2 linked regions of the Caenorhabditis elegans genome follow. The protein of the gene in region 1 interacts with the protein of each later gene in a biochemical or structural test. Each region holds a gene or a part of one and is shown on either strand. Other genes may lie near its edges.

What was found.
Region 2: of the proteins of rgef-1 (region 1) and let-60, one has a biochemical effect on the other in vitro, tested with the Caenorhabditis elegans proteins (one study listed by BioGRID).

The regions. Positions count from the first base shown.
Region 1 is NC_003283.11:9,555,657-9,563,302, reverse strand, and holds rgef-1 (Ras guanyl-releasing protein 3), read left to right. Parts: upstream 1-1,631; 5' UTR 1,632-1,694; coding exon 1,695-1,776; intron 1,777-1,827; coding exon 1,828-1,943; intron 1,944-2,133; coding exon 2,134-2,309; intron 2,310-2,358; coding exon 2,359-2,413; intron 2,414-3,295; coding exon 3,296-3,388; intron 3,389-3,446; coding exon 3,447-3,527; intron 3,528-3,781; coding exon 3,782-4,092; intron 4,093-4,159; coding exon 4,160-4,418; intron 4,419-4,765; coding exon 4,766-5,310; intron 5,311-5,581; coding exon 5,582-5,713; intron 5,714-6,472; coding exon 6,473-6,587; 3' UTR 6,588-7,276; downstream 7,277-7,646. Other genes in the region: ehbp-1 (EH domain-binding protein 1), read right to left, coding at 7,558-7,646.
Region 2 is NC_003282.8:11,687,691-11,692,762, reverse strand, and holds let-60 (Ras protein let-60), read left to right. Parts: upstream 1-1,674; 5' UTR 1,675-1,685; coding exon 1,686-1,814; intron 1,815-2,509; coding exon 2,510-2,704; intron 2,705-2,761; coding exon 2,762-2,932; intron 2,933-3,657; coding exon 3,658-3,717; 3' UTR 3,718-4,536; downstream 4,537-5,072. Other genes in the region: ZK792.5 (Nucleolar protein 9), read left to right, coding at 4,646-4,936. UniProt on the Caenorhabditis elegans protein: GTP-binding protein with GTPase activity. The level of let-60 controls the switch between vulval and hypodermal cell fates during C.elegans vulval induction. May stimulate the guanine nucleotide exchange factor (GEF) activity of rap-1.

The DNA.
Region 1 (7,646 bases):
GTATGCTTTTTTTAAAAATTATTTTGCACATCGACCAATAAGTGCGCAACTTATAAAATTAATTTATTTTTGTTAATTTTTGAAATACTTGTATTGCTTTAAGTGATCTGACCTCGCCCTGAGCTTTCCACGTAGTTATCAAATACAAATCCTCCAAGGGTAACGTACCTATATTACTGATCTTTATAATAACTTTATCACCTGTCCAGTTCCAGAGGAATTCTGTTAAGCTTATAGGCACAGAAGGAGTCATTTCTGCTGGTTTTTAATGATCCAAATCTTTATTTCAAGTAAAAAACTGAACACTTGCGAATAAAACTATCAGATTAACCATTCACCAAAAATGTGTTTGAATCTAAAACTTTCTCAGTATTCCAAATATAGAAATAAATAACCACGACATTGCTAAAATCTGTCTGAATTGTGTACTCCTTACCGTGAAGTAATAATGGATATAATGAATCGTTTGAAATGAATGATCAGCACATTTTTGGTGAAAGATCACAAATAAGGAATAAGCGACGGAAAATAAAACGATTATTTCGGATCAAAAATTTGTTGAAGATCATATACACTCGAGACCAAGATTATTCTAGACAATTTTCAAATTGGCTTCTTTGTTTGCAAATCTTCATAATAATCTGTGAAGTTTGGAAATTTGAATTTTTAATCTTTTTTCATAGATTATAGTTTTTATTTCTTTGCAAAACTATATTAAAAACCGATGCATTGTTTTAGGGAAATTAATGAGCCTTTTGTTCAACACTAAAAACAATAAAATTAAAATTTTGGCTTCATCATTTGACCTTTTTTAAGTTCGAAAACTTTTCTCGTATTTCTGAACCGCCAATTTTTTCACACATCTCTAGACTTTTGGTGCCCGTTCCAGAAAGTTAAGTAATTGCTATTCTAAGAAAGTTCTCAACATTGTTTTTTAGTTCTGATTGAATTCTGATGTTCCAGGAATATATTTTAAATTTAATATTCTTTGCACTATTTCTATACTAACTAAATAATAAATAGTCTAAGTATGTTCAATGAGAACAAAAAAGCTCTATCTATATTTTTCTATCCTATTTCATTTATATCCTTTTCATTTTGAACTCACCAGCTTCTCTTCTTCTTCTTGTCCATATACTTCTTAAAAGTCTCGAACTTCTCTCTCTCACTCTCCATCAATTTCTTTATGGCTACCGCTTGCGCTCTGCCGCTTCCGAAGAAAGAAGGCGTTGGCAGAGCTCTCAATTCTATTTTTTCTCGCCGTAGGCTATCGATTTCTCAGCTTCTCTTCTCTCTTCCTCACTCCACCACCACCACTTCGGGCTTCTTCTTTTCTTCATTTTCGTCTTCTTCTTCATCCTCTTCTTTTTTTTTCAGTTCCCCCTCACTCCTCCCCTTATATGCGCGTGCGAGAGGGGTGCAAAAGCAGCGCGCATCCGAGAATTGAAACGAGAAAACGGAGACGCAGCAGCAGTTCGTCCTCAGAAAAATAGCCAGTAAAAAGAGAAAAAGATAGAGAGAGACCTATCGCATTTTATTTTCAAATTGCAATTCCTGCAATTCATGTGTGCGTGTGCCCATTTTCAATTCTTCCCGTTATTTTTCAGACCATTACCAACGTTCTTTCTAGATCTTGAGACAATCTTCCTTCTGCTCAATCGTTCGTCGTGAAGACGGCATCGACGACGACGACGATGAGCAGTAAAGTTGAAGAAGATCAACATCAAGAACTTCTCACAGAAGATCAACTTGTGGCAAGATGTGTTGAATGCTTTGGTAGGAATAAAAAGTGAAACCCTATTAACACCACAGGTGGTAATTTTATAGATGTCGACGAGGAGGATGAGGTTGAAGATATTGAATTTGTTGACGCCTTGTTTTTAAGTCATCAATGGTTGAGTGATAGTTTATCACTTATTACACATTTCGTGAACTTCTATCAGGTAATTTAAAAGTTGTGATCTGTAGTATTAATTGAATTATTGCTCTTGAGTTTTATATTTCCGGCTTCACGCGCCCAGTTCAGATGTTCCTAAAACACCTGGCTGAGTGAAGCTTGCAAATTTATTTACATTTTTATTTTGAATTAAAGACTGTCACAGAAAACAAATAGTAATAATATCAAATTTTAAGGAAACTCGAAACGTCGAACAAAGAGAAGCAGTATGTCGAGCGGTATCATTTTGGATCGAAAAGTTTCCAATGCATTTCGATGCGCAACCTCAAGTCTGTGCACAAGTTGTTCGATTGAAAACGATAGCAGAAGATATAAATGAAAATATTCGAAATGGTCTAGATGTCAGTGCATTGTAAGTACTTTCAATTTACAAAAAAATAAATAAGTTGAAACAAACTCAGACCGTCATTTGCGTGGCTTCGAGCAGTTTCAGTTAGAAATCCATTGGCTAAACAGGTAAGTTTTTTTGTTGTAGAGTGAAGGCTTCGAGGAATTGCGAGCTATGGTGTTGATGTGTGGAGAGAAATTTCAATTTGGTTTCAATTAGTTTGCATTATATTTTTAAGTTCATATTGCTGTTTTGTCTGAATCAGATCATGTGAACTTTTTGAACTATTTCATACTATTGCGGATTAGCAAAGTAATCTTTTTGATTAACGGATAAAAAGATTAGATAAATGAATCATACAAAACCCTGAAATAAAAAGTACGCACCCAACTTGCTCCTCGATTCAATGAGTAAGCAAGCATTTAAGAATTCCTCAGGAAGTGGTATACTGGGAAAGTTTCTCAAAAAGTTTTCATTGAAAAGAGATGAACTCGCCATTAGAAGAAAAATTAGTTTGAGAGATTTTTGATAAGTTTCCAATGTTGTCAAGATGCACAATTTTATTGAGTTTAAATTTCTCTTTTTTAGTCGACCTATATTTATAATGTGCATAGCCTGCATAAAAAGAGTCAACTTAAAAAAAACACATAAATCCAGCAGAGTTTATACACTGTGTGAATTTCCACGACATGATTACATATAATTGCAGAATTGTCGATAATTTCGAAGATGGTCATTCTGTCGTTTACAACATTTGATAACATTAAATTTTGAACAAAAAAAAGTTGTATCAAATATCACTCGCTGAATACCTCGTTTTGCTTTTTGTCTGTATCTGATTTGAGAAAAATAGCCTTGAGTTTCAGACAATAGTTCGAGTTGATTTCGAGACTTTGCCCACTCCGGGAACCCCTCCACCATTTCCCATTGCCTCGAAAAAATTCTCACTAGTACATTTATCAACTTCTTTGAATATTCATGAATTTTTTCTAACATCAATTAATTTTCAGACTGCCTTCTCTCTTTCATTTGTCCAAGCATCCCCTAGCGATATTTCGACGTCACTTTCTCATATCGACTATCGCGTTTTGTCCAGAATTTCGGTGAGAATAATATAAATTAGAACAACAAAATGATGAATTGTGGTTACCTTTATTTCAGATAACTGAGCTCAAGCAATATGTGAAAGATGGACATCTAAGATCATGTCCAATGTTGGAAAGAAGTATTTCAGTATTTAATGTGAGTAAATATTATTGAAGAAAATTGAGCATTTTTTAATTAGAAGCTTTAATGGATTGGTTGCTTCGTTTATGATCAAATAGCGGCCAGGACCAAATATAGACAGATCTTTGAGCCTTCTAAGAAACTAGTAATTTTCACTTTTTTGTATTCTAACAGTGGCTTAACAAGCACTTAAATAACACGTTTTGGGTGTAGGTTCTTGGTTCTTGATTTTTTTCTCGAAATCACACAAAAAACAATAATTAATTCAGAATCTTTCCAATTGGGTACAGTGCATGATCCTTAACAAGACAACACCAAAAGAACGAGCAGAGATCCTTGTGAAGTTTGTTCATGTAGCAAAGCATCTACGAAAGATCAATAATTTTAACACTTTGATGTCCGTTGTTGGTGGAATAACTCATTCATCAGTGGCTCGACTTGCCAAAACATATGCAGTTCTGTCAAACGATATCAAAAAAGAACTGACTCAGTTGACAAATCTTTTATCTGCTCAACACAATTTCTGCGAGTATCGAAAAGCATTAGGAGCGTGTAACAAAAAGTTCCGGATACCTATAATGTGAGTTTGAAGTGTTTAATTTTCTAAAAGTTCAATAATTCAATATTTATATGTTTCAACTTTTCAGCGGTGTACATCTCAAAGACCTAGTCGCAATCAATTGTTCGGGTGCAAATTTTGAGAAAACAAAATGCATCAGTAGTGATAAATTGGTGAAACTTTCCAAACTGCTTTCAAATTTTCTGGTTTTCAATCAAAAAGGACATAATCTTCCCGAAATGAATATGGATTTGATAAACACATTGAAAGTGTCTTTGGACATTCGGTACAACGATGATGATATTTACGAGCTGTCGTTGAGACGGGAACCAAAAACTTTTATGAATGTAAGTATATTTTAAAGTACCATGGTATCTGATGGCAACTTTCTTGGAAACTTTTCAAAAACTCTATAATTTAATTTGCAAAATTTCCTGTATAGAGGCGTTCGATAAATGTGAACTTTTTCCAGAAAATTTTTGACAAAATCAAAGATTCCTGTTTGCAGGAAAAGTAACGGTTTTCGGTTTTGCTTTATTAGACCCCTGAAAACCGGATTTCGAAATGATACTCAAAATTATAAAATACAGTCTTATGTGGCTAGCCTGAAATGTATTTGGTCAAATAATTGCGACTACCCCTTTAAAGAATACTTGTCAACGAACTAACTTTTTTTAATTGTTCTTTTTTTTAGTTCGAACCATCTCGTGGACTCGTATTCGCTGAGTGGGCCTCTGGAGTTACAGTTGCACCTGATAATGCAACAGTTTCAAAACATATCAGTGCAATGGTGGACGCAGTATTCAAACACTATGATCATGATAGAGATGGATTCATTTCTCAAGAAGAATTTCAGTTGATTGCTGGAAATTTCCCTTTTATTGACGCATTTGTGAACATAGATGTTGATATGGATGGACAGATATCAAAAGATGAATTGAAGACCTATTTTATGGCTGCAAACAAGAATACAAAAGATTTACGAAGAGGATTCAAGCACAATTTCCATGAAACTACATTCTTAACTCCAACGACTTGCAATCATTGCAACAAATTGTTGTGGGGGATTTTGAGACAAGGCTTCAAGTGCAAAGATTGTGGATTAGCAGTTCATAGTTGCTGTAAATCAAATGCTGTAGCCGAATGCAGAAGAAAAAGTAGCAGCAATTTAACAAGGGCTGCCGAGTGGTTCGCTTCACCACGTGGCAGTATGAGAAGTAGGATAATAAATACATGCAAGTGAGTTGGTCTCAAATTGTGAAGAATCTTCAGAAACCGGTTTTCACTGAAATACATAGATCTAGATTAGTTTTGATATGATTGATCTCGCACGTTTTTTGAACTCTTCAGAAGCATGTAGCACGTTTGAACGGGAAGAAATATTTGAGAATTATATGTTTCTAAAAGTCTAAAGTTTCATTTTTTCTACTCTTGGTAATTTCCGTAGACTATATAATTCCTAGTTATAAATAATCGGTCGTAGTATGTAACCTCTAATCAGATTCATTAGAAGATCGTCTCGGCCTCGTACTGTATCTGCAGTTGTCACATCTCCAACAACAGAGAAGCCGACATGTTCTACGAAACTCAGTCCTCCAAAACTGAAAGATATTCGACCACAATCGGAAAGTACTGAATATTAGTAAGTTATTATAGTGGCTAATTAGTTTTTAAGTATCTTCCTAAATTTATCAAAAGTTAAATGCTTTTCCAACCAAAAACTTAATCTTTTCAAAACTAAAAAAAACCTAGTCAACAGTGTATCACAATAATGCGATAATTCATATGTAACAAACACTTTAATTGTGACATGCTTTAATATTTATTTTGAACAGAGCTCTATATTCACGGTTTCCTGAATGTATTTCTTGCAGTAATTATATTGTAGTCTACCGTAATTCTCACGTGGACTACGGTAGGATCACATACCGTATGTCCCCTAATAAACTTGCATCATCACTCTACTTTGACAGCTTATATCTCTTATGTCTCAATTTTAATCAAATATCTATGTTTAGAACTATAGAAAAATGTTTTGGGCGTATTTTGTCAGTTGACAATTTTTTAAAACCAAAGTCAGCTGGCTGTCAAAGTAGAACAAGCGGATACTAGTCTGATAAGGAAAATACGACATGTGATTAGAAGTTTTGTGGAGCACAGGATTCACTTTTACGATACAATACTGATCCCATCAATTGGTGTCAGGCTGTCGCATTAGGAGTTGATCTACAGAAAATGCGGGAATTGTCTACCCAGAAAGATGTAACGTCAGCACGTTCTTAACCATACGAATTTAGTAATTCTCATAGATCTACGTAAATCAAGCCGAAATGGGACACTCTGACACCATGTGCCCCATCAATATTTTCAGTTGTTCATTAAACATCAATAAGAATTTCAGTAATTCCGGAAGTACACCAGATGAAGAAATTGGTCTTGTAAGCCTTGCTTGTGAAGAAGTCTTCGAAGATGATGATCTAGCAGATATTTCATCTGCGTCATACCGTACCGCCTGATTTGTCTCCATCTATCTCTTTCTCTGCACTCTCTTTATTTTTAGCAAGAATATATTACACAAACACTGAATTCTGGGAATGCGTGTTGCGCAACATATTTGACGCGCAAAATATCCCGTAGCGAAAACTACAGTAACACTTTAAATGAATACCGTAGCGCTAGTGTCGATTTACGGAAACATTTTATTAATCGATTAAATATTAAAAGAAACACAAAAATGACAAAACAATACGAAAAACTGAATATCACTGTCGCAATTCGAACATAAGTGAAAATCGATCCCGTAAATCGACACCAGCACTACAGTAGTCATTTAAAAAGTTACTGTAGTTTTCGGTCAGATATTTTGCGCGTCAAATATGTTGCGCAATACGCCTTCTCAGGATTTAGTGTTCTCGTAATATGAGAGTACAATATTAAGTTTATTCTTCTCATCTATTTTTCTTCAAATTAATGCATACGAGTATTTTTTCCTGCAAAATGCGATTCATTTTTTAACCATATCACTCAATTTCTCAAATTTATTTGTTTTTTCTTTCAGTACATTCCCTCACAATTCGAGCTTGCTTTTTCCTATCCCACTTGTTTGATCTCTACGCTAAATATTTCCACGTGTAAAGTATTTTTCACCAGTCTTCCACACACTTTCCTCTTTTTTCGAATGAATTTTTGCTGAACATCATTTAAAACTCTGAATTGATTTATTGAAAGCTGAAAGCATTTGGATTTGTGTGCACCGAGAGAAAAGAAAACTGAATACAAAAATATACACATAGAGATGAAAAGATAGAGAAAAATTTGATGTTTTGATTAACTCCTAAAAATTTGCCAAAAAAACGGGAAAGAGTGAATTATGGAAAGGAGAAAAAATGATAGAAGATAACAAAGGGACACTGGGAGAAACTTTGTTTTCAGAAAGAGAAGAAGACCCGTAGTTTTAAATTGAGTAATAAATAACGTTGAAGCGTATTAACGGCGCCACCATTGAATAAGTCGCTTCGATGCTGAAACAGGCTGATCTATTCCACGAACAAAGCGAGTAGCCCTATCCAAAGTAA
Region 2 (5,072 bases), on another chromosome or scaffold:
CATTAAATAATTCAATTCATCGTTATCACCATCCTTCGTCGTCGTCGTTATCGTCAGAAACAGATAGGGATGGGTCGATACAAAAAGAAAGTGGACAGTTCTTTTCTCTCACTCTTTTTCTCTTTTACAAATCACACTTGTTTCGTCTCACACACGCTCACTTCTTGTCTCTTCTCCCAACAGTCGTCGCAAAACCGTCAAAAGCGTAGCGGCTGTCGCGTCGCGGTCGTTCGTGTCTATGCATCACCGTTTCTAGTGCTCTCTAATTGTCCCGCCGTAGCAGTAGCAGCAGTAGCAGCGGCATGGTGGGGACCGCACTCCTTTATCTTTTACTCTTACTTTGTGTGTGTGTATGGGGGGTGCGAGAGAAAGAGATAAAAAAGAAAGAAAGAGAGAGTGTGTGGTTTCTGTGCTTCTGTGCACTCCAGAGCCTCGGATTTCTTTTCCTATGAACTTCATTTCTCGTCTCCATCATCAGAAGGAAGAAGAATTCTTCAGAATCTTGCACTTGAAGCGTTTTCTGCCTATTTATTTTCTCCTCCCGAGTTCATCTCTCTATTCGTCTTTAGCTTAATCCATTTTATTAGGCACGCACCCGCTCCTTGGTTCAACCAAATGAGAAGATAGAAAAGATGGAGCAACGCATCCCAAATTGTGTGATAGGATTAAAGTAGTGTGGAAGAAAAAAAAATGCAGAGTGAGAGAAGGGGCAGTCTTCTTTTCCGGTCTTACTAATCCTAACGTCTTCTTTTTCCTTCCTATCTCTCATCTCTCAACTTCTGAAATAGTTGAGATGAGTGATTTCGTAAGTTCATTATTCTTTTTTGTCAGTTTTTGCTTATAGTTCCTACGGGAATCATTGTTTCTTAAACATGCTACTTCTTTAAACAATTTATATTTAACAAAGTAAAATTGAACGTTTTTTTAAAAACTTTCTAACTGAATTTCGTAAATTTATTTGTTTCCTTGTGAAAAATGCTTGTCAGGAAAACTTTACTTCTCTACGTCTCAATCTCTGCAATCTTTTAACGAGAGATCGGAGAATTTTGTATTGGAAAAGTGAAAAAGAAAAATGAAAGAGACCCACTCGACACTGAGGGCGACCGAAAAGAAACCGACGAAAAAAAACGACGATTCGAGCCATTTGTCAGCGACAATAAGTGGTCGGGTCGCACCACTGTCCGCCGTCTCACCGATTTTAACATTATATTGTCCCCCTTTTTCTTCATCGCTTTGAAATCAATTTTTGATGAAGTGAAGACCTTTTTTCTCCTGGTTTTTTTTTTAATAATTGCATTACCCCATTTTTTAAAGTTCAAAATTACTCAAACTATTTGAATTCTTCTTTTTTTCAAATTGTAATGACTCATTCTCCGTCGTCTTCAAATAGTTACTCATTCCGACTCACCACCTAGTTTATTAACAGGAAAGTTCATTCTTTTTCTATCTTCTCAATTATTCTCAAGTAGTCATCATCGGTTTTTTATTTCTTTCCTGGTAGTTACTCTCCTTTATCGAAACTTTTTTTTGAAAAAAAAAAGAAACGGAATTCTGAGTATGCCGATAGGCAGAGCTGCTCTTTGGCAGTGCTCCCACAGAAATCCTTCTCCACTTCGTTTTCTCATTTCCATCTCTATTTTACATTTTTCCATATTCAACTATGCGTCTTTTTTCAGAAAAGGGTAATGACGGAGTACAAGCTTGTGGTAGTTGGAGATGGAGGAGTTGGTAAATCAGCACTCACCATTCAACTCATCCAGAATCACTTTGTCGAAGAATACGACCCGACCATAGAGGACAGCTACAGAAAGCAGGTGAGAAATCATTGGGAACATCCGCTACACACATGTGGTGGGAGCAAATTGAACGAAAATGATGGCATTTGAAATTGAACAAAAAAACGATGAGTCAGAAGTTTGGAAGTTTTTTGAAACACATCGAGCTGTTTAATTGATTCCAAAGACGAATAAATCGTGCTGAAACACGAAAAATTCCGAAATTTTCGAAAAAAAACCAATTTTTCGTGTTTTGGACACGACATTATAAAATGGCTGGAACTGAAAAAAATGGCTCGAATCATGATTTTTCATTGTCCCCCGAAAATTCTCACAAAAAAAAATTGGAAAACCGAAAATTTTAGTTTTTGCAAAAACCGGAAAAATTCTGAAAACACTCCAAAATCGATATTTCTCAGACGAATTTCAATAATTACATTCCGTTTTACGTTTTATACAAAAAACAGAAATTTCACTTTTTTTTTGAGAAAGGGCCCAAAACTTTTTTTTAGATTTTTTGTTTTTTTAAAGCAAATCGATAAACCAGCATGCCTGCTCGTGTCGTGTGAGGAGTATAAATTTTTTTAAACGTATATTCATCTTTAAACTCTGAAATTCAGAATATTATTGAGCCCTAATTTTCAGTGTTTTCATTTGAGTTTTTAACCAGTAAAAATAGTTTTTCAGTTTTAAAAATTGCTCCGAGAGCTAGTTTTTAAATATTCTAATTTCAGGTTGTGATAGACGGTGAGACATGCCTCCTCGACATATTGGATACCGCCGGACAAGAAGAATATTCGGCGATGCGTGATCAGTACATGAGGACAGGCGAAGGATTTCTGTTGGTTTTCGCCGTCAACGAGGCTAAATCTTTCGAGAATGTCGCTAACTACCGCGAGCAGATTCGGAGGGTAAAGGATTCAGATGATGTGAGTTTTTTTTGTTGAAATTATCAGTCAATGGTTGAATATTTGTATTTCTTCTAGGTTCCTATGGTCTTGGTAGGGAATAAATGTGATTTGTCATCTCGATCAGTCGACTTCCGAACAGTCAGTGAGACAGCAAAGGGTTACGGTATTCCGAATGTCGACACATCTGCCAAAACGCGTATGGGAGTTGATGAAGCATTTTACACACTTGTTAGAGAAATTCGCAAGGTAATTTTTTAGTTAAAAATTTAAATTAAAAATAATGTTTTTAATGTACAATTAAGGTACAAATTCAGTCATTATTATATGAAAATTGAAAGACGCGAGATTTTGATATTTTCGCGCCAAAAATACGACACCCGGTCTGTTCGATTTGCTCCTTCAAATATTATGGTAACTTTATACTGTCGTTACAGCGGAATTTTCATCAATTTTTTTAAGTTTTCGATATTATAAAAATATTTAAAAACACAGCAGTTTTAATAAATCGGTGAAAATTACCCCAGAAACGAAATATTAAAGTTACTGTATTCTTTAAAGGCGCACATACGTTTGCATTTAACACAAATTCATCGTGTCGAGACCGGGCACCGCATCTTTAATTTGAAAATCGCCAAATGTTGCATTTGAGTAATACAAAAACGTTGTTTTTAAAAATTTTCTGTTTTGTAAAGCTCTAAAATGTTATTATTGTTATCAACAGTTTCAAGTTTCCATTTTTCACTAAAAACGAAAAATGTAAGTTTTTCCGATATTTCGAAACAAAAGCTCAAAGTTTTGGTCATTTTCTTAATTTTTAAAGAAAATTATATGTTTTCTTTTGTTTTTTTTCTCACCAGCATGCACAAAATCTGATAAAAAATTGAGTTTTATTGTTAATTTTCTAAAAAAAATTTTGATGACACCCTAGATTGATATCCGAAAGATTTAATAATGTTTTCTTTTTATTTCAGCATCGTGAGCGTCACGACAATAATAAGCCACAAAAGAAGAAGAAGTGTCAAATAATGTGATTCAGCGTCGGGAATTGCCCAATTTCGCCAACTCATTTTCAGTCGTGTCAACTCCCACCCAATTATCCTTTCTCGTACTTTTTTGGTACATTTTCATTATTCATTTATCTGTTTTATCTGAAACTTGTGATCGATCCTCTTCCGCCTCTACATACTCTTCGAATTTCCACCTTTTTTTCTCTATGCATCGATTGAACTTGTTCTCTCGTCTGCTCGTCATTATTTTTTCTCCTTTTTTTTCTTCATCCTTCATTCTAATTCCTCATCTTTCGCTTAGCCCAAATCTCCATTCATTCATAGGTGTCAAAACTAGCTGTAGTGTGTGATCCATATCTAAAACATGCATCCGAACCCCCTCCTCGTTCCAAAATTGGCCAACTCTACCAAAAAAAACATCGCACCATTTTTTTTTCACTTTCTCTGCATATTTTCAGAATGTTTGTATTGCTTTTTTGATGCTTTATTCCCCTTCCTCGTTTTCATACAAATTATTGGCCTCATCTATTTTCAGAAGTTCTCTGAAAATTAAATTCTTTTGCATCTGCCGGTCGTTCCGTTTATTTTTTCTCTGTTTCCTCTCATTTTTGTCAAGTAATTATTTCTCTTTCATTAACTATAATATAGATACAATTAGACCCCATTTCTCATACATTTTCTGAACATCTGAAAGTTTTTGCTCCCTCGTATTGCATTCATTTTTCTCTATTCCTCTACATTTTATAGTCCTATCTGAATATAATATTCCTATTCTTTTGATCAAGTTTTTATTATTATTTTATTTTCAAGGAAGTATTGCAATGATATAAATTTTAAAAAGCTAATATTATTTTTTTAAATCTATTCAACTATATTTTGTTAATTTCAGTGTTATATTTTGACCTCGCCATCGGAGCATGATTTTAAAAAAAACTAAATTTAATTTATTAGAATGACGAGAAAAAGGAAAAATGTAGAGTCTGATGAGAATCCTCCAGCGAAAAACTCATTTGAAGGATACGGATATGCTGCTGCTGATGCTGAGAAGAAGCCACAGGAGGAGAGAAACAATTTCAGAACTTTTCTAGCCAAAAATGAACGATTTGGAAGTGGAAATCGAGGTGGAGGAGGTCGTGGAAGAGGAGGAGATGGTGGATTTAGAAGAAATGATAGAGGTGGACGTGGTGGTGGTGGAAGAGGATTCGGTGGTAACAGAGAATTCAGTGCCGGAGATTTTGAGAAGGTTTGTGTCAGATGGTGTCGTGAGTGATGTAGCGTCTCTGGCTTTTTAAACTCAAAATTACAGAAAAAGTTTCGATATGTCGAGTTAAAAACATTTCTAAAATTTGTATTATTTTGCAAAAAATAAAAAAAAGCCG